Lytechinus pictus: one gene and its partner. The protein of the gene in region 2 interacts with the protein of the main gene of each other region in a pairwise test. Links are inferred from orthologs where the notes say so. Each region holds a gene or a part of one and is shown on either strand. Other genes may lie near its edges.

What was found.
Region 1: the proteins of glutaredoxin-3-like (region 2) and anamorsin homolog interact in binary tests that used the Homo sapiens proteins (3 or more experiments, as listed by UniProt). The link is inferred for Lytechinus pictus from reciprocal best matches to the Homo sapiens genes GLRX3 and CIAPIN1.

The regions. Positions count from the first base shown.
Region 1 is NC_087246.1:50,063,438-50,074,816, forward strand, and holds the start of anamorsin homolog, read right to left. Parts: upstream 4,224-11,379; 5' UTR 4,180-4,223; coding exon 4,026-4,179; intron 2,522-4,025; coding exon 2,372-2,521; intron 1,503-2,371; coding exon 1,426-1,502; intron 487-1,425; coding exon 327-486; intron 1-326. UniProt on the Homo sapiens protein: Component of the cytosolic iron-sulfur (Fe-S) protein assembly (CIA) machinery required for the maturation of extramitochondrial Fe-S proteins.
Region 2 is NC_087256.1:18,207,346-18,218,420, forward strand, and holds the start of glutaredoxin-3-like, read right to left. Parts: upstream 4,402-11,075; 5' UTR 4,120-4,401; coding exon 4,055-4,119; intron 1,390-4,054; coding exon 1,281-1,389; intron 629-1,280; coding exon 554-628; intron 1-553. UniProt on the Homo sapiens protein: Together with BOLA2, acts as a cytosolic iron-sulfur (Fe-S) cluster assembly factor that facilitates [2Fe-2S] cluster insertion into a subset of cytosolic proteins.

The DNA of each region.
Region 1 (11,379 bases), on a different chromosome or scaffold from region 2:
AATCGTAACTCTATGGAAATCCATCAGTGTTATAATTTTTTGTCCAGGATATTTGCACAATGTCCTTTGTAAACAAAGAGAAGCACAGTGAATTTTCAAGAAAACAATAAATGCCTGAAATATGCATCATAGTTATAAAATATTTTGAACAAACATGCATAATATATGTTGACGTTGCTGGCCATCCATAGTTGTGAATGATCGGATCAATCGTAACTCTTTGTAAGACGGGGCCCAGGTCCTGCCCTGAACAACAAATCTCTTACAATGGTGTGAAAATAGCATAAAGACAAACTTCTATCCAGTACCATCTTTATCATATTTACCTGATTTAGCTTTCGGTGCAAATGAGAGAGGTAAGGAAGCTGTCGATCCCACCTCAAAGTCTGGTTTATTGCAGCTCACTTCAACCATCTTTAACCCATTGATTTCAGTCATATTTCTACTCTGGGCTATCGAAGAAGGATCTGAATCTTCCACTACATTCTGTTCATTGAAAGAAAAAAAAAAGTAGGATGATGTATGAACATGTATGGAACAAGATGATTTATGGTTGAGCATTAAAGTGTAACCAAAGTACACAAAGATTAGTTATTCAATAATAATCCAATTAAGAAAATACTATGTGTGAAATACATGTAATTATTGTTCCTTGTATAGCTTGAGAAAGCAGAGTAAATCCAGAATCAAAATATAGTTTTCTTTGCGTAAGTGAGTGACCATCAAAAATATTTGAAATTGTAAGAACCCCTATACTATTGTTCAGAAGAAATTCACATAAGTGCTGAAAATAAGCTGAAAATCAAACCAAAATGCTGAATTCTCAAACCTATGATGCAGAGAACGATCACTATGACATGTGACTTGTTCTCATGTATGATAGAAAAACCTAAACAAAAATTTTCTCTTTAATATGTATGCATAAGCCAAAATTGAGTTGAACCATAAATTATTATAAATTACTGCAAGAACAATCAATATCATGTTCATCAATCTGACTTTAGGTTTAAATCAGATCATTGTCGTTCATATACATGTATGATTACATTTGTTAAAAAAGAGCGATTGAACAAAATTTAATGGATGGACATACATACAGACATGAGCATAATGCCTCTGGCTCCTTTGGAAGCATAGATGTCAAGGGGACACATAAATTTTCAGCATGTTTCACAAATTTATAATAACATCAAGGAAAGGGAAAGGCATGTCTTGACGTTAACAGTTATCAGGGACAGTTTGGACTATCAATATCAAAGGATAATAGATCTTAATAAAACACACGCCCATGAAAGTATACATGGTGTACCATGAAACCACTACTTAACAAGATTAGGTCACCTCCCAAAATGTAGACTAGATACCTTGTTAAAAGTGACACACTGTAGCAGTGCTTTCAAACAACAAATTTGAAATATGAAATACCTGATTAATATCTATGAATCCACTCAGCTTTAATGCTGATCCTAGCTTGGCTGGTGTCCTTATTCCAACTCCATTCTCTACAAAACACAAAATGAAACAACACTGTATTCATAAATACTTTGCAGTACCACGTCTTGTTTACAAAATTTTGATTTTTGTACCATTTAAAGTTTGTATTTGAAACAACACTGTATTCATAAATACTTTGCAGTACCATGTCTTGTTTACAAAATTTGGATTTTTGTACCATTTAACGTTTGTATTTAGAAACAAGAAAATTCACAGAAACACAAAATAATAATATCTTTCCACAGAGCTCTTCACTGAGGAATCATAGCTACATGCTACATCCATAAACCACCCAAAGAAGTGACAATCAATTTGTCCATCAATCAAACAGATAGCAAGTAGTCACAATAGGTACAAAATTTTGCAGGAAAGGGAGGGCATAAATGGATCTATTAAATTTGGCTAAAAACTAAAATAGATTGTCTCTCTTTCACTGAATGAATATTTTGTACCACTGTACAAATTTGAATATTCTCTATGTTGTACAACACCTCAGAATCTGAGTACAAATATACACACAAACATAAATAAACACTCCTTGCACCTATGGAAATCAAGGTTACAAAATTATGAGAAAGAATTACTGACTGCATAAAATATCAATGAATTTACTTTGCAAGCTAAATGTGACATCAACCCCAAAATGTAATCTCAAGTTCAGTCGGCATTAAAAGCTCTGTAGGCAAATATTACACAACAGCGATTATATAGATGTACTGTCAGTATCACTTTACTCAATAAAATATCCCAAACAAGAATGTTTTGATCTTCTGCTTTGGATCTTTTTGAGAGTGACTGATGGTTTTGTAAAATACTTTCAATACAGCCCCCCCCCCAAAAAAAAAAAAGAATAATAAGGAAAGTTGATCTTGTATACCTGACTCTGATACAGGTTCCCTTAACAACAACTGTCCCTTTGGCTTGAGGATTCTGGCTATCTCTGCAAGAGTTTCAAAGGAGTAGGTCTGTGTTGATGGCTTGATTGCTCCTAACAGTGCTACATCAAATGAGGAGGCTGGATGTGAGGCTAGCAGAAATCAAAAGAGACAATCATTACATCTATCATTACATCTGTCATCATGAAGTGACACCCAAATATACAAATGAGCAACGATAACAATTTCTCGAATTAAATTCAGAAAGTACCTTGATTGAGGTTCAAAACAGGAGAGAGCAACGTTGTGATCCCCACCTCAGGAACATGAATTGCTTTTACACTTTGTTATATTTTACACCCAAGCATCTTACAACAAACTTTATATACCATTTACATAAATTCAGTTACATGTACAGTGCGTCCCAGAAAAAAAACGAAACCGAGATTTAGCGATGATTTATCATAACTTAATCATAAATAAAATAGACAAATGACCTACCAATGTAAAGCTTAGAATCTCCCCTTTCATCTGGTATTACTTAGATTATACCTCATTCACGCATGATTGCGCAAAAACAATTCGAAGAAAGGATGCCAAAAACTCATTTGGCGGGGGGTATCTGAATTTCAAAAAGAAAATCACATGACTAAAAAAGTTCATTATCTTCTCTCTTCTTTGATACCTAAATCACAGAAAATGGTCAAGTAGTAAAAAAGTTATGATCCCTCGAAACAATCCTCGTATTTCCATAATTTCATTAAATAAACGTGTTTTCACCGGTTTCCCACTGAAGCTATCGCATGGTAACAAAAGACTTAATGCATGGCTGATCGTCAACAAAACGGAGTGTCGAGTAAGTTTGAACGCTAGCCTGTAAAACCTCTTCATTTTATGAAATTATTGAAATTCAAGCCTTATTTCAAATAACCAGAACTTTGTTATTTCTTGACCATTTTCTGTAATTGAGGTATCAAATTAAAGAGCAGATATTGAACTTTTTGAAAATGTGGTTTTCTTTACACCCTTTGTACTCTAATACTAAAAGAAATTAGTTCATTGACTAATGAGCCCTTGATGAGGCATTACATCCAAACCCTCTCCCTATAAAATATCAACAAAATACAGTCTGCTGTTGTTCTATACTATCATGGGATGACATTTAGTCCATTATTTATTCAACTTTTCATTTGAAAGGCCCAAGCGATGCTATACAAAATGTCACAGACCCTGCTTTCATTAAAGTACTAAATCTAGTTTAGTGGAAACTAGTTTAATGTGTAATGGGAACTCTTGAAGCAGTCTTGGAAGTGATTTCAAAACCAGTTTGGAAAACCACCTCGCGGTGCGGTTTTCAAGACTGGTTTTCCTCGTTAAACTAGTATAAACGTAGGTGAGGACATAACCGTTCTTCAGGAAGGGATCTTCGCATGTGTTGGGCATGCTACTCAACACACTGTGTAAAATCGTATGCTGCGGTTTCAAATTTCATGCGAAAAACCGACCCCACTGAGAATGTTCCTATAGCAACAAGAATGCTTTCTATGAAGTTATTCTGAAAACTACTTTCTGGAAATCAGACAGGAATGCGAGGAAAAGCAATCTTCCAAAGGGCAATAATTATATTGAGGGAGATTACTGGATATATGTACTTACACATAGAAAGTCTCTCGTCATTCTCTACCTGGACACGCCCACTCTGTCCGACCTTACTGCTCAGTCTCTCCACCACCTCCTTGATTTGCTCTGGAGACTGACCTTGACTCCATACAACCAACACACTCTGTCCCGTTGAAATCTTGTCTTCCATATTGGATCTGGGCTATAGGTAAAGAGCAAGGTAAAAAAAAGTAAGCTTGTAACCGATTTTGCAATCGGCAACCGATTCCATTCGATTTCACCACAATCGGCAATCACTTGCCGATCTTCGATCATGCCCCTTGAAGGAAAAAATCGGCGTAGATCTGGTTACAGTGCGTGATCGCTCAGAACATATTTCAAGATTGTTTTTGAGGTGCTAGCTATTTAGAGGTCGCATTATTCAGGGAGAAAGACGCGGTATTATCTATGGCAATGTTTAAGAGGATAGATATCTTCTCTTCCAACTCATGGTGATAGCGGATGCCGCCGTGAACTTTGAAAGGTCGAATTACCGACGGAGCTCACTGCGTTACTCTCTTACATTGTTTATGATTATATACATTTTATTTTCAACCTCGTGGTGATAGCGGATGCCGCCGTGAACTTTGAAAGGTTGTATTACCGACGGAGCTCACTGCGCTACTCTCTTACCCCCTTTATAATGATATAAATCTTCTCTTCAACCTTGTGGTGATAGCGGACCCCGCCATAAATTTTTAAAGACTGTACTATTGACGGAGCTTATTGCGTTACTCTCTTACATCGTTTATGATGATATACATTTTATTTTCAACCTCGTGGTGATAGCGGACCCCGCCGTGAACTTTTAAAGATCGTGCGACTGACGGAGCTCATTGCGTTACTCTCTTACATCGTTTATAATGATATAAATCTTCTCTTCAACCTCGTGGTGATAGCGGACCCCGCCATAAACCTTTAAAGACTGTACTATTGACGGAGCTTATTGCGTTGCTCTCTTACATCGTTTATGATGATATTCATTTTATTTTCAATCTCGTGGTGATAGCGGATGCCGCCGTGAACTTTGAAAGGTCGTATTACCGACGGAGCTCACTGCGCTACTCTCTTACCCCTGTAGAGACAAGCACTCCTTTATAAGTTCCCTATTCGCTGTCCATAGCATTACACACATATACATGTATTCCCTATTGGCGGGCCATATAATTTCGGTATCTTGTCACGGCTCACGGGTCCCATCCCCTATATAAGCTAAGACGCATTTTAGTTATGTGTTATTATGAGTAAATTGGATCCACCGCTGACGTGTACTACTGGCCTGAGGACGCACCATACCCCGGCAGCTAGCTACGCTACAGCAAGGACCAGAGCGCTCTGCAACCGACATCTAAGTTCAAGTTCAACCAGTGCAACTCAAGCTTCGTGCCAGGCCATAATCCGACGCGAGATCCATATCTTAAGGTCAGATTAGCCCATAGATTCTCGTAAATTACAGTTAACTTAAGGTAATACTAATACTAGGTCACGATACAATAAATGGCGTAGTCGGCAGGGTGAAGATGAAGAAAAGAAAGAAAAGATGTATTTGCAAAAGACGATTTTGATTTGGGTAATTTTACGGCAATCACACACAAAATTTACACTGGCGACTCTAAGCCTATCAAACAGAAAATGAGAAGAACCCCTATTTCTTTCGTAGCCGAAGAAGATGCCCATCTAGAAAAAATGAAAAAGGCCGGAGTTATCCGGCCATCCTCCTCAGATTGGGCTTCCCCCCCGGTTTTGATCAGGAAACGGGATGGCTCAGTACGATGGTGTCTGGATTTCCGCAAACTTAACCAAGTAACTAAAAAGGACGTTTTCCCATTACCAAATATTGAGGAATGTTTAGATACCCTGGCCGGAAATGTATGGTTTTCCAAACTCGACGCAAACTCCGCCTATTGGCAAATTCAAGTAACCGAGGCAGACATTGAAAAAACTGCGTTCGTCACCAAGCATGGCTTGTTCGAATTTGTTAGGATGCCATTTGGCTTGTGTAATGCCCCGGCCACATTCGCTAGGGCCATGAATCTGATCCTGAACGGTTTGAACTGGGAAGTAGCTCTCGCCTTCCTCGATGACGTGTTGGTATTGGGAAAGTCCTTCCCTGACCACTTGGATAATCTTCATCAGGTATTGAGTAAATTTAAGTCCTTTCATCTCAAGCTGAAGCCTAAAAAGTGTTCACTATTCCAGAACAGAGTGGAGTTCCTCGGACGAGACGTGGATGGATCGGGTCTACACTTGAGAGAGGAGCACATTCGGGCCGTCAAGACATGGCCTGCTCCCCGCAACACCCGAGAGGTCGAGCGGTTCTTGGGGTTGGTAAATTATCATCGCCTTTTCCTGAAGAACTATGCGGAAACGGCCGCCCCCTTGTATCAGCTTACCGGCAAAAACCCTTTCCTCTGGCGGAGGGAACACCAACAAGCGTTCGACAACATCAAACATCTCCTTGTTACGGCTCCAGTGTTAACACTCCCTAATGCAACAGACCCCTTCATATTGGATACTGATGCATCGGATGTCGCCGTTGGGGCCGAGCTCTTACAACTCCAAGAAGAGCAAGAGAGGGTGATAGCTTATGGAAGTGTTGGGTTAACTAGAGAACAACGCAACCAAAAAATTACACGGGGGCGGCGGGCGAATTCGCCCCGGAAAGTCCAAAAAGAGCCCCAGAAAAGGGCTAAAAACATTCACACGAGGGCGACTGCAAAACTCATAATCGCCCCCGTCAACTAGGCTTGGGAGCCAGCGCCGGGTAATCGAGTCTACCCGATTCTCAATGCCAGAGTCGGGGAGTCGACCCTGATCTCTGGAGACTCGAGTACCAAGCGGCGGCGGTTCTGAGATAAAGGGACTCGAGTCTTTGCCATGCTCTCTCATTCATGGACGAAAATCGGCCCCAGCGCCGACTCCAAGCACTGAGATAAAATAAATGTAGAATTTGGAGCAGAGGAGTCATATACTTCGAGCAGAACGTTTCTCTGCTTTAGGCTCAGTGTGACTGCATGTGGTATGGGGATGCATCGTGTGTAGTGTGTATTTCTGTGTGTGTGACTGTAAAATGCCAGTAGAGACCACGTGCGCATGTGTTGAGCGACACTTGTGGTTGTATCATGAACTGGGATTTGTGTGTGGATTGTGTGAGAAGTTTGGTGAAGGTGTAAGATTTTGGGCGACTTGATAGATGATTGCTCCCCCCCTCCCATTTATCTAGCCCCATGTCGAGCTGCAGCCACCCATCTTGATCCTTCCCCCCAAAGCTTGTCTCTCCTCATTCCTTCTTTTCTTCCAAACTTTATTTCCCTATTATTCTTGTTAATTTCTCCTTTTACAAGTTGTAATTCACTACGAACTTCATTATAATTTTAATGAAGTGTTTATCACCTCTTGTTTGTTTTTAAATATTTTTATATCTCTGTTCAAAACAAGAGTCTCGTTTATCCCTTTAAAAAAAATCACGCTTTGATTTTTTTTTCTTTCATTCTAGTCTTAAATGGGAGTCTTGCCTTATTGGAATATTGGCAAGAAGTTAATAAAAAAAATGATGTTATTGTTCTGTCAGTAATAAAAGTAGAGATTCAACTATGGATATTTTTCAGTCATATTTCATTTAATCTTCGTTATTTCAATCCAAACATTCATTTTTTTTTCAATGATGTATTTCACCTTTGGCCAGTTCGCCATTTTCTTAAGTGACTGAAAACGTAGACTAGCCCCTTAATTCAGGGACATCAACCCTCGGCAATTTGTTTACATAACTTTCTTTGTCTCCGTCATGTATTGCACAATCTTGAGAAGCACATGTTTGGAAATCTGATATTCTTGTGGTGGTGGTGGGGGGGGGGGTACGAGATTGCCGCCCTTTTCATTCTGTTTTGGTTTGGCTGCCACATGGCCTCTCTCACTGTGTGGAGAAATTAGGTCAGGTAAAATTTGCAAAGACGTGGATATAAGTTCATTTCAATTAGAGGCTGTGCAAGGCTAGGCATTCATGATGGATGATGGAAATTGCCAGTTTTGGTTCTGGTAGGCCTTTTTGTCATGAATCTGTGTAACTGATACGAACGCTTAACAATTCAATGACCTTTATGACTTATATCATTATTTTGTATGAATAATTTTAAGTCTTTTTTAAAAAGTGTCATTTAAATAACTTTCAGTCAAATATGTACGAAGGATATTTGTTCAACTTCATAACATTTGCAGGTACCTATATTGTATGATAAAATAAATTACCTCAGAATTGTACAAATTCAGAACTTTCTTTTTCTTTTACATTGTCTTTAGACACGAATACAGATCTTTCTAGATTAATTTGACAAATGGGCTATAACACTAAATAGTAAACACGCAAAGCTCACGTCAACCAAGTATCAAACATTCAAACTTGGATTAATTCATGGAGGTTCTACCTCCATGATTTAATCTGAATAGGTCTGTATTAGGTCCATGAATCAACTCAGATATCGTTCAAGCATCAAAATCCATCTATCATCACAACACTAAAATCATAAACAATCACTTCGAAGAAACAATGCGAAGGTCAAACCAGGGAAGTGTTTTACTTCCCTGGTATATGCTAGCTACCGTGTATATATATACACACACACACACACACAAACGCAAAAAAGCCGCGAAATACAGAAATTGTAGCCCTGGAAAGTGGAAAAAGAGCCCTGGAAAATGAAAAAGTAGCCCTGGAAAATTTTTAAGTTTCTCCAAAAAGAGCCCTGGAAAGAAAAAAAGTAATTTTTTGGTTGGAACAACGCCGCTATTGCGTCACCCGCAAAGAATTGCTCGCCGTGGTTTTATTCACCCGGCGGTACCGGCATTACTTACTTGGTAAGCCCTTCCAGGTGAGGACGGATCATAGTAGCCTCCGATGGCTATTCAATTTCAAAAACCCCCAGGGTCAACTAGCCCGTTGGTTAGAGGAATTAAGCCAATATCAGATGGAGATAGCTTATCGGAAAGGGAAAACCCATGCCAATGCCGACGCCCTCTCTCGGATACCTCCCCCCAACGATGCTTGCGAGATGTATGAATTGGGCCTAACCCCCGATGATCTTCCTTGTGGTGGCTGTCCTTACTGTACCCGAGCTCATAGAAATTGGTGTGACTTTGCGGAGCAAGTAGACAATACCGTACCCTTGGCTCAGAAATCTTCGAAGCCGCGAATTCCCGAATTGAAATTAGCCCCGCTCTCCCGTTCCGAGGTGGGCCCACCGATACCCGAGCTTGGGCAGACAAAGATTGACAAGCAGTCAAAGGGGAGCGACTCGGCTGACTCAAGCGATCCGCCAACTCCGCTGGAAGAGAATGTGTATTCCACACTGGCTGAGATGGCCCTGACGTCAGGGGAAGTCACCAGTTTGCCCTCCGAACAGGGATTTCAAATCAATCTCACCTCCCTCGACAACAGCATTGATCTTGTCAAAGGCCAAGAGGGAGACGAATATCTAGCGCCCATTCGCTTATGGCTGGATAGCCGTGCAGAACCAGGTGAGGGGGAGATCATGCGCTGGGGACCAGAACAAAAGTTTCTTTGGTTAAACAGAAGCCTCCTGGAGGTCAGAAGTAATTTGATCTGCTGGAAGAAAGAGGGACTATTCCTGGTTTGGGTGCCAAGAAAGCTCAGGGAATTGGTAACCCAGCTCAACCATGATTTACCTACCTCAGGTCATCAAGGTGTCCAACGAACGATAGCAAGGATTAGGCTGAGATACGTCTGGTACCACATGCGCACTGATGTGGAGTTATATATCCAGGCATGTACTGTATGCAACCAGAGGAAGAAGCCCACCCGTCATGCCCGTGGCGCTCTGACCCCCTTCCATGCTGGAGTTCCCTTGGAGCGAGTTCACTTGGACTTTTTAGGGCCGCTTCCAAAATCGGATAAGGGGAACGAATATATTCTAATGATTGTGGATCAGTTCACTAAATGGGTGGAATGCATTCCCCTCCCCTCGCAGAGGGCCGAGGAAACGGCTCGAGCTGCGGTGAATGAGTTTTTTTGTAGATTTGGCTTCCCACTTCAGGTTCACACAGACCAAGGACGAAATTTTGAGAGCCACTTATTCCAGGAACTTTGTAAGATGACGGCTACCCACAAGACCCGTACCACGGCTTATCGACCCTCCGCAAACGGGCAAGTGGAACGGTTTAATCGGACTCTGATGGACGCCGTGAGATGTTTTATAGGAAAGACTCAATCACATTGGGATAAATTCCTACCCCAGATAGCTAGCGCTATGAGGTCTACTGTCAATCGAAGCACAGGATTTACCCCAAACCGGCTAATGCTAGGCAGAGAGGTAAACCAGCCTGCAGATCTCATGTTTTCTCTTCCTCCAACGCAACAAAGGCAGAGGTCGACGGAATATTGCCGGGAGTTGTCAGCCGCCATGTTGCAGGCTCACGATTTGGCAAGGTCAAGGCTCAAATCATCGCAAGCCCGAATGAAGAGAGACTACGACCTTAAGGTCAGACATCGGAGCTTCAAAGAGGATGACTGGGTCTATTTCCTCGATCTGGCATCATGCAAGGGAAAGAGCCGGAAACTGCGTCCACCTTGGAAAGGCCCCGCTCAAATAATCAAGTGTCTCTCCGCTAATCTTTTTCGAGTGAAGTACAAGAAAGCACTCGTGGTGTTGAATCATGATCGAATGAAATTATGTCGGGATAAAGAGGTGCCGGCGTCGAGTGGCCCCCGCCCCGCCAACGAGGTTTACTGCCTTTGCCGAAAGCCAGACGATGGTCGGCTAATGATACAGTGTGACAGGTGCCTAGAGTGGTATCATGGGGCATGTGTTAATGTACTGCCGATTCAGGCTATGACCATGAACACTTACGCGTGCCCCGTATGTCGGGCAACCCGAAGAAAATAGAAAGGGATTAGTCCTTAGGGTAGAGTAGCTCGATAGTTGCTGCCACATTAAGGCCCTTACAAATGTAGCGTTATCTTTGTCCATCTGTGTCCATACTAAATTACCCATGGTTAAACAATACTCTAACCTTGGTTATCCTCCATCAGTGAGTGTTTCCACGTTTTCCATTATCGTCCAGGATGCATGTATGTCTACGTATTATATGTATGTATATATTTAGTATATAGGTAGAGAATTGATATACTTACACAGTACCAAGATTCAGTAAATAGAAACTGAGGTAAACGTATATATCAGGCTATAATTGATAAGGGTTTCCCTTACGTTCTTCTTTTTTCTTAACAGAACAGACCAGAGTAGACCAGAATAGATTAGACCAGGGTAGCAACTTCAGGGTAGACCAGAGTAGAATAGACAGAGTAACCAATGGGTCCCCCAAGAGGAGCAGCCCGACC
Region 2 (11,075 bases):
CAGTTGTCGCCAGAGCAAATGTCATGATAACTATGAAACACCCTCTTGTTCCAATGCTAATGCAAATGGTGAAAAACTTTAAAAGAACCATGAAAATGACAATTCTGAATCTTGTTTCCTCCATAAATCTAATAACAAATGGCTAAAAACTAAAAATGAAATCTGAGCAATAAAATCATAAATTCAAGCTTGCAAGGCCAGTAACATAATATAGTCAAATACATGGCCCATAGAGCCTTTCAATACATATTCGCAACTAATTATTCTTTCTCTTTGACAGCACCAGTGACCGTGTTACGATGTGGTCATGACATATGGGATAGGAAACTGTGGAACAATTGTACCAATATTAGCAGCAAACATTAAAACTTGAGTTGGTCCGTTTTCCTAAATGACCATTATGGGAAATTGTGTTGGGGGGGGGGGTATTGGAAGGAAGGGAAGAGAACGGGAGAGGGGGAAGAGAAAGGGGAATAGAGAGAAAGGGACAGGGAAAGGAGAGAAAGAGGGCTAGAGTGGAATTATGCAAACAATTACTTGTTGTATGACTCACCTTGATTAAAATGAACGTGGGGACTGCAGCGATGCTGTACTCTTTAGAAATTTCTGGAAGTTCTTCAGCCTCAACCTAAAAAATAAATGAAATATGAAAATAGAGAGAAAAATATCTCTCATGGAGGTTCCTCAGACATGCTTGAGATAAGCGAACAATAACCACTTTGGCTGTATTACAGTCCCACTCATAATAATCTGTGGTATGTTTTATTTACTAGTGAAGTTTCGTTTGAAAACACAGTAGGAAAAATCTCTTTTGAACAAAGCTAATGATATTATCATGGCTTTGAAACTTTGATGCAATATGATTAATTCTCCTTCATTATACTATCAAATTACAAGTTTTAAGATGAATAGGAAACAATAAACACAACTTTTTGAGGACTGCTTGGACGTTTCACCAAAATTGCAGTGTGTACATCTCATGCTTAAGTGAGCCCTGAACTTCAAACGTTGTTTTCTCCGTATTTTTTTGAAACTCTCAATGAAATTCCTCTACAATCAATCAAGTATTTGTGTGGATGAGCTTTTTCAAAATCTTAAAATTCAATTTGGGCAAATTACACCTTATCTGGATACCACATCCTACAGGGTTTCAATACTGAGGACATTAGATTCATGTATAAATGTAGACAGTGTCACTTTCCTTCCTTCCAGTTGTAAACAGCTCCCTCCATTGATGATCCAAGGCCCCCTAGAGGGTGATGTTACAAAGGCAGACTTACCGTTGAGAAGCGAACCTGTGGATGTTCCTTGGCCAGTTCAAGCATGACCTCATTCATCTGCTGGCACTGAGGGGCCCATTGCGCCCTGAAGTGAACCACCAATAGACCACTGACAGAGAACAACAACAAAAATAATAGGTTTCATCATCAATCATTTGAAAGTATTTTGGTAATTGTACAATTCTGTCCCAGAAGAGAATTGCCAGATGTAAGAACTTTCCTTCTGAACACAACAGGATAATGTTGGGGCGTTTTGTTTTGTTCTGTTTTTATGGGAAGCAGTTGAGCAATATCAATGGGCGGATACTCAACCAGGCAATAAAAAAACTGCATGCTTTGAATTGCCTGAATGGCGATCACTTTACATGACAAAATAAAAGATAGCAGAGTAAACAATAGCACATCTTTTTTAAATGCACTTCTGAAAAAATTTGATCGAGCATTTCCCAAAAAAATTTGGGTTTTGAGAATCATTTTGTCAGAACATGCGGAATGATTATCATCAAATTAAAAGTTTACTTATAGTTTTTTACCATCTGCGGGTAGTAAATGGTTTTCAATACATTGTTTGATTGCAGCGACTGAGGTACATGGTTGATTGTTGAAGACTCTCTCCAATGAGGGAGACAATCTCCGATATTGGAGTTGCTTTGCAAATGGATAAAGGTCAACTCAGCACTTAAGGCAACTCGGACATGTTGAAAAAAATAAAGTGCCAGATTCAAGCTTTCATAGAAAAAAAACTAACCCTAAACCTAACTGTAAACCTAGTAATGTTGATAACACTAACAGCCCTTTGTTCGACATGGCACATCGAGCGATCAAAAGTTGATGTGTGGAAGCGCCGCTGGATTACGCGGCTCCGCACTTGATATGCAACCTGGAAGTCACAGCAGCCCTTCGCTCAGAGCCCCTGATGATTGAAGGCAACACGCTAGTATGCAGCTGAATTTACTTCGGTGCAAATTCAATGCAGTTGACTTTTGATTTTGATTTGCCATTTTGAACATACTGTTCAGTCCTAAATTCGTGAGAACATTTGCAACCTTGAAACAAAAACCACCAATTTCTTCATTTCTAGGTATTTTTCAGGAATCACGCTTTTTTAATCTGAGCTAAGCCGCAATGTGCACTGGAAATATGGTGCAGATTCTAATTTTCAAGAGCCAAATTTGATTTTCAAAGGTCGATTTTGGAGTTGAAATTAGGACTCTCCTGTGCTGAGGCGAGTACATGTAACAATGGCTTTAAGGCAACCTTAAAACAAAAACCACAAATTTCTTCATTTCTAGCGCATTTTTCAGCAATCACACTTTTTAAATCTGAGCTAAGCGCCATGTGCACTGGAGATATGGTGCAGATTCTAATTTTCAAGAGCAAAATTTGATTTTCAAAGGCTATTTTGGAGTTGAAATCGGGACTCTCCTGTGCTGTGGCGAGTACATGTAATAGTGGCTTTGAGGCTTAGTGTGTTACAATGTTTATGGTGTGTTTTGTGGTGTGTTAACATTTGTTGACATTAGTGATTAGGCCTTGTAACTTACTAATGCTAAAATAAATGTAATTCCTGAAAAATTGTTTGGAAGATGAGAATTGAGATGGAGTTAAGTGCCCAAATATCGGACAAAAATTACGTCAACTCCCTCCACACAACTACAGGGTCCTGCACTGGACTTGCATGCAATATGCATGTGATACATGAACTTACTTTCTATTGAAGTCGCACACACACACACAGTAGACCAAGGTTGCTGCTCAAAAAAAATATTCCAGGGGTTAAATCCAGGGGTAAAATCCATGATTTTGACTTCCAAAGAATATGACCCTTGCTAACTTTGTAACTTTTGAAAAAGCGCTTAATAAGAAGTAATTATTATCAATGTTTTTTAACACATACGCACTCGCTTTTTAGAACAAAGTAGCTCACAGCTGAGCATAGGCGTCTGATGTTTAGAGCCGAAAGAGGTCCATTTGGTAAGTAAATAAATATTATTTACCGATATATCAAAATTATTGAGAGTAATAATAAAAATCAGCATAAATTTGAGCAGCTGAAATAAGTTTTATCAAGCAATTATTTTGGGGTTTAGAGCATGATTAAAATTGCCAAAAATGATCGCAGCGCCTAACTTTTACATGTCCGATAGATCTAATTGGAAACTGTGTCCGATGTTTGGCAAAAAAACAAAGTTCTGGTAGTAAGTAAATAATTTCCATTCACCATATTTTGTTCAATTCTATTTTTTATGACATTGATATTCAACATCTGTACCACAGAAATACACATGATTTGTATTTGGTTTAATGATTGTATTTTTGTTTCGGTCCAATTATGCTAAACGTTAAGGTTAATCAAGTGTGCGATATTTTATAATTAAACTTAGAGTCTAAGTACGTTGGACAGTGTAAGATTTACTAAGAGTAAGAAAAATTAGTAAGAATAAAAATCGTTCTCAATCTCAGTCATATGTCAATCATAGACACTCAGTTTTATAATTCTGTATAATAAAAGCCTGGGCTAGGCTTGCTCAATTATGTGAACATTTTATTTTGTGTTGTTACCCTCACCTGAGTTATCTTTCAGTCAAGTTAGTGAGGGTACACAATTGCACACACTAAACAGGTGTCACAACTTCAGAAGTCACACACAATCGCAACTTGAACAAGACATGAAAATGAACACATGGGGCAATGAACGTGATCATGGTGATGAAGTAGGAAAGCATTTTTTTTTTTTCAAATGGTTGTCAAAAGAACTGAAACTGAATGCATACCTAACAGTTTGTTCTACTTCTTTTCCAAAGTCCTCCACACTCTTGATCGAAATAAGTTCTGCCATTTCGATACCAAAACCAAAAGATGATTTATCAGGTCTCCGTGCTCGGTCAAAAAAGTCTCTGGCAATTGCGCAATAATTGGCCTGCGATGCGCTGCCGGTCGGTCCGGCCGGTCGATCCCGGGCGGGCTAGCCCGCCGGTCCGCCAGAGGCCGAGAAAAATCTGAAAGTAAAAAAAAAAAGGGGGGGTAGCGATGTCGGAGACATGTATTAATGCTAATTATGAAATAACAGGCTAGGCTTATAAAAATTTGTAGTGGACGTAGTTTGGGGTTCAATTTAGGCTTAAAGAACCGAATTCCCTAGTATAACCATGTAATAGGTCCATGGTATAACCGAGGTCTGCGACCCGGGTCTGCGATTGGTCAAAAGTTTACCGGGAGCAGGTGAGGAGCAGGTGAGGAACGCTACTAGTAATACATCTCTATGAGTCAGACCAAGGAGATATCACTCTAGAGTGATATCTCCTTGGTCAGACTCAGATAGTTGATAATTGGGGGGGGGGGGGGGGATGGGGGGAGTGAGAAGTAACATGTCATGAGTAATGCAACTTTAAAAGGGGATCTTTTTATTTGCATGTTTTTATATGTAACTAGAGTTTTTGCATTTATTAAAAAGAAAAAGAAAACACTCATTTTGTTGGGTTAATTTGAGACTTTGCAGAGGAAAAAATTAAGTTCTGTTTTAAATACACACAGCCATAGGTCTAATACTTCAATCTTTATATTCAGTGAAACTCATGTCTCCTCCAGGTGGCAACCAACAATTAATTTGCAGTTTCGCTGCTAGGGGCGGCGAAGGCAGGGAGGCCGAGTACAAGGGGGGACTTATAACTGCCCCCCATTAAAATATCCCACAGAATTATACCCTCTGTGAAGTGCCACTCTTTTCTTTCTGAAGTTGATTCTCTTTCCTTTGTTCCTATCAAGTTAGAATATTTCCTCCAGGTATATTTACCCAGGGTATCCACTTCAGTTCCGAGAACTGTTCTCCCAGCGGGCCCCTTACCCCGGCTTTAGCTGAGCTGCCTAGGCGCTCAAGCATTCAAGGAATATCTTCCTATACCGGCCGGGTACCCATTCACCTCACCTGGGTTGAGTGCAGCACAATGTGGATAAGTTTCTTGCTCGGAAGGAAACTACGCCATGGCTGGGATTCGAACCCACGACCCTCTGTTTCAAAGTCAGAAGACTATAATCCACTGGGCCACAACGCTCCACGTTTCGATCCATTTTTGATCTTTCGATCCATCCATTCGAAACTAGACCTCTTCTTGTTTTTCCACCTCACCCCCACATCCCCTAAATTTTTGAGTTCTTCTGTTTGATGTACCCAAAATGAGTGCCTTGAAACCTGATTTGAAATAATGCACATTCGGTACATTCGTCACTGATGGTTATGTTCTGTTATTTTCTAATTGATTACGTGATGTATTTTTGCCTCTAACGGGGCGCGTCATAGAATTTAATAATACTTTGTTCAAAGAAAAGGCATGCAACGCGTTCTCATTCATTTTCTGTGATAACATTGCTCTGTGTTCATGTTCATTTCATGGCCCTGGAAAGCATCCCCAAAATTTTCCTTGGGGGTGCTGCGCGTAGGCCTATAGCAGCACTCCCTGGAATTCTGGTAGGTGTTTAAAAAAAGTGGAGAAATGTTAGCAAAATAACCTGTATTTTGTAGTGAAAACTTTGTTTTTTGCTTGTCATATTTACATCAGCACCCCCCAGTAAAAGAATAGTTCCCAGGGTCCTGGTTCACTTCAACATGTTTGATAGCGACAAAACAATACAATTCGTGGGGTAATTGTTTTGTTTAACAACCAAAATCACTTCCAGGGGAAGAATTCCCCTTCTCTGTATACAGAACTTTGTGTACACTGTATACTATTCTGCAATGTGCAGGCAGAAACATAAAGTGAAGGTAAAAATATCTCTATTGCTGCCAATGCCCCTTAATTTTGACATATAGTACTAGGGCCCGGACCAAAAAAAAACGTTCCGCCGCCCCTTCATCGTCACCGAAAGTCAATTATAATGCATTGATCCAACATAATTCTCCTGGGGTGGTATTCTGAAAACGTTCTTATCTTTGTTCTTATCTTTTATCTTATCTCATTGAGATAAGAAGACGCTAAAATCATTGCAAATCGGTATTCTGAAAATCTTCTTAACGCGTTCTTATCTCTGTAAGGACTGCCTCCTTCTTATCTTCAACACGCCCATTTTTTAGGATATTACCAATCAAAATGCGCTTTATATTGTCAGTTTAACCAATAGAAGCGTTCCTTATGTCAAGAGAGTATCATGGGCACTGCGCGAACACTGTTTCTGGCGCATTGCGCGAAATAGGCATTTTATACGCATTAAAAATGACTGATTATTATTTCGAGACACGTGCACAATAAGGAAAGAAAGAAAGAAAGAAAGGGAGGGAGGGAGGGAGGGAGGAAGGAAGGAAGGAAGGAAGGAAGGAAGAAAGAAAGGAAGTAAAGAAAAAAAGTAAATAAAGCAGGTACGAATAAAGAATAAAACAGGAAGAAAGAAAGTAAGTAGGTAAGAAAGGAGACAGAAAAGGGTCAGAATGAAGCAGAAAAAAAAATGAAAGGAACAAAGCAGAAAATAATGAAAGAGTAAACGAAAGAAAGCAAGCAAAAATAACTTAAATGAAGAAAAGGAAAGAAAGAAACTTAAAGGAAAAACGAAAAAGGACCCAAAAAAGATTAAAAGGATAAAATGAAGGAATAAAAAACTGAAAAAACTGAAAAAACGAGTGAAAGAAAAAAAAAGAAAGAGAAAAAGAAGGAACAAAAAAATGTAAAAGGTGAAGGAAGAGAGAAAAAAGGAAAATGAAACAATGAAAGAGAAATTAAAGCAAAAATAAAGACTAAAGAAAGAAATCGAAAGAAAGGTTAATTCAAAGAAAGAAAGAAAAAGAACGAAAAAGGAAAAATAAAAAGGAAGAAAGATGAAGAATAAATGAAACAAAGTAAAATAAGAATAAGGAAGAGATTAAAAAATTCAAAAGAATAAAGCAAAAGATATAAATGAAGAATGAAAGAAAGGAAGATAGACAGATAGAAAGGAAGAAAAATTGAAAATAGATAAAGAAAGACAAAAGGATAGAAAAAAGGTGAAAAACAAAATAAAGGGTGAATAAAAGAAAGGATGGAAAGAATACATGTTATTACCAGTGGCCATCTTTTTTTAGCAAGAAAGAACGCGAACATCGTGAGATATGATAACCCTCTAGCTATCTTAAATATTATCATAAATATCGTAAAAGATAAGAAAGATAAAAGATAAGAATGTTTTCAGAATACCACTTATCTTTATTTTGTTCTTATCTTTTTAGCGCGCTTTGGTATTATGCGCGTGTAACAAATTTACGCGCTCAGCATAGGATGGAAAGCAAGATAAGAAAAAGATAAGAACAAAAGATAAGAAAAAGATAAGAACGTTTTCAGAATACCAATTTGAGAACGTGACGTAGATAAGAACAAAATTAAGATAAGAACGTTTTCAGAATACCGCCCCTGCTCATCTTCCTCATCATTTTCATCATTGCCTCATTACTTCCATGTCTTGATTATCATTTTTTTCTTTATAAAAATCATCATCATCATCGGCATCATCATCATCATCATCATCAGCATCATCCTCATCATCATCATCACCACCATCATCATCATCACCACCACCATCATCATCATCATCATCACCACCACCACCATCATCATCATCATCACCACCATCATCATCATCACCACCACCATCATCATCATCATCATCACCACCATCATCATCATCACCACCATCATCATCATCACCACCACCATCATCATCATTACAATTAACCAATTGGATAGATTACACCACCCACTGTTATCCACATCATTATCGTCATCATCATGCCCATTATTACCATCCACATCATCACACCTGTTATCATTATCATCATCATCATCATCATCACAACCCATTGGATAGATTACACCATCGTCACCACCCACTGTTATCCACACCATTATTGTCATCATCATGCCCATTTATACCATCCACATCATCACACCTGTCACTGCATGATTATCATCATTATGATCATCATCATCATCATCATCATCATCATCGTCGTCGTCGTCGTCATCATAATCATCATCTTTGTCGTCGTCGTCACCACCACCGTCTGTCTTTATCATCACAATGATCCCTTGCATTAATCCAATGTCTGTATATATACCACTTCATTGTTTTGCAATGTTTACTTGTTGTTTTATCCTCATCATCAAATAAATAATTCTCCTCCTAGATCTCCTAATCATCATCATCATCACTTCTAGCATCATTATCATCATAATCATCAGTGGCGTACCGTGGGTCACGGCATGGGGGGCACCAGGCACCAGCAAAATTTGTGAGTCGCTTAGTGGGCGCGCAAAGCCAGGTAAACTGACCTAACAGAGACATCTTAAGGACTGTTTTTTTTATAATCTTTTATTCTCTTCTCTCATCAAACAAATTTGAACATAGTAAAATATTACATTCATGATCATGAATTCAAAACGGCATCAAATCAAATTACACCATAATTACAATGCTTAGTTTGAACGTACAATTATTCTGATCAACACATCTATACATTTGACAATTCTTAACGAAAATGAAGTAAAACAATGTCATGAATAAATTCTTAATTTTTGTTGTTTTTTCGGTTACACTTCGTAATTCCGAAGGTTCTTTATTCCGAAGGTTCGTAATTCTGAAACACGTAAATTGCCTATACCTCGATGTTCGTTAATCCAAAAACGTAAAAGGGTTCGTTTATCCGAACATTTGTGGCGTTATTCCGAAGGTTCGTTTTTCCGAATGTTCGATAATCCGAAAACGAAATAAGGTTCGTTGTTCTGAAGGTTCGTTACTCCGAAAACGAAATACGGTTCGTTGTTCCGAAGGTTCGTTAGTCCGAAAACGAAATAAGGTTCGTTAATCATTTCGTTTTCGGACTAACGAACCTTCGGAATTACGAACCTCATTTCGTTTTCGGATTAACGAACCTTCGGAATTACGAACCTCATTTCGTTTTCGGACTAACGAACCTTCGGAATTAAGAACCTTCGGAAATACGAACCTTCGGAATAACCGAACCTTCGGAATAACCGAACCTTCGGAATAACGAAGCTTCGGAATTACGAATGTATGCGGTTTTTTCCAAGGAATATATATTCTTTTCTCTTACATTTATACACATAAATGATATATATTTTTAATATAAAGCAGTACAACCTAAAAACGAACAAAAGTATTTACCATTTCTGAATCACACACACACACAAATCTTTAATCCTGTAAATTATTAGAATACAACTAATAAGATTTATGAGAGAAGATTTAATATGCATAATCCTCGGGCCTCTCCCTCACACTCACAGTCACAGCCCCTTCCCCCACCACATTCAACACACATTCACGCACGAATACCCCCCCCCCCCGAGTGCACACACACACATCCACCCTGATCAAATGTATTTCATCTGTCCGCATAAGTGTCATGGCAGCTGTCATGAAAATAAGTGCATGTCATAAGTTTAGTCTAAGAAATAGATGAATTCGGAATGCCTCGTCTTCATGAACAGATGAAGTGAAAAAGAAATCTCACTTCCTCAGGTGACCCGATAATTTTCCACATGCCTCTGCTATTCTTTTCTCCTCCTTTTCATTTTCCAATATTTTTTCCCTAATCTCTTGAGTGGTCGGGGGTCTTCTTTTAGCTTTACTATGCTCAAAGATCATAAATTTAATTAGAAAGGTAATATGATTTAGTAATATGTTCCTTCCTTTATATCAAAAAACTTAACTCCAATATGAATATCCTTCCAATTAACAATTTCAATTTGGCGTAATTTAAATAAATGACCACAGTCTCTCCACTGTCCACAAAGTTCTAAAAGTATTCACAGGCGAAGAATATGTGTTGATATGTCTCTTTACATTTACCACAGAACGACCATAGATTATATGTTGATAATTTAAATCTAAATAAACATTTTTAGTATATACAAGTTCGTATAACAATTTAAATTGAAACTCCCTTAATTTTCTATTTCAGGTAGCTATCCTGGGTCTTAAATATATTGTATCAGTCTCTTTTTTCGGAAAATTCATATACATGTTCCTTTTATGTTTTTAACAGCGAACGACCTCTCAGATTCCATGTTTAACAAAGCTTTATAGATTTTCTTAGATGTAATATTTGCTAGTGCGTTCATATTTCCATGAAACATAAATTCAAAATTTAAAGCTGTGTCCATGCATGTATTTGTTTTCTTCAAGAGACATTTCCATGTTGTTGGAATATTTTCATATATTGTGTGGAGATATCTTATCTCATCTTCTATTAACCCCATCCTCATGCAGGCTCTAGATGTTTTAAAATTACACTTGTCATCAACTAGATGATGTAATTTATAAATATTTCTAAGAAATAAACTTTCTTCAAATAACATATGTCAGTCCGAATGTGTAAACTTATTGGAGAATATCTCATTTCTTTTTGACGTTTCCTTTTTAAGCAATATTTCTTTCGTAGCACCCCATATTTCCAACATGTTTTTGTAAAAGCTTGGTAGGGACAATCTGCACAAATTTAAAGATATGTTACTAAAAAGTATTAGTAAACCTCCATAGTCACGTGTCCTATTTATTTAAAAAAAAATCGTCTCCATCCTATTTTCGAATCTCCTAGTATGAGCCTCTTCAAGCACATAATCCTTTGTGCAAATACAAATATGTGAAAATCTATCATTCATGTCATTCTAAGCCCTCCTTTTTCGTAATTCATGCACATAACGTTCCTTTTTATTTTGTCTCTCCCATTCCATAAACTATTAAAACATTAACGTTTCAATATCATGAAAACCCCTCGGTGGTACTGGGGTGAGTGACGTTTTTGAGAGTGCAAAT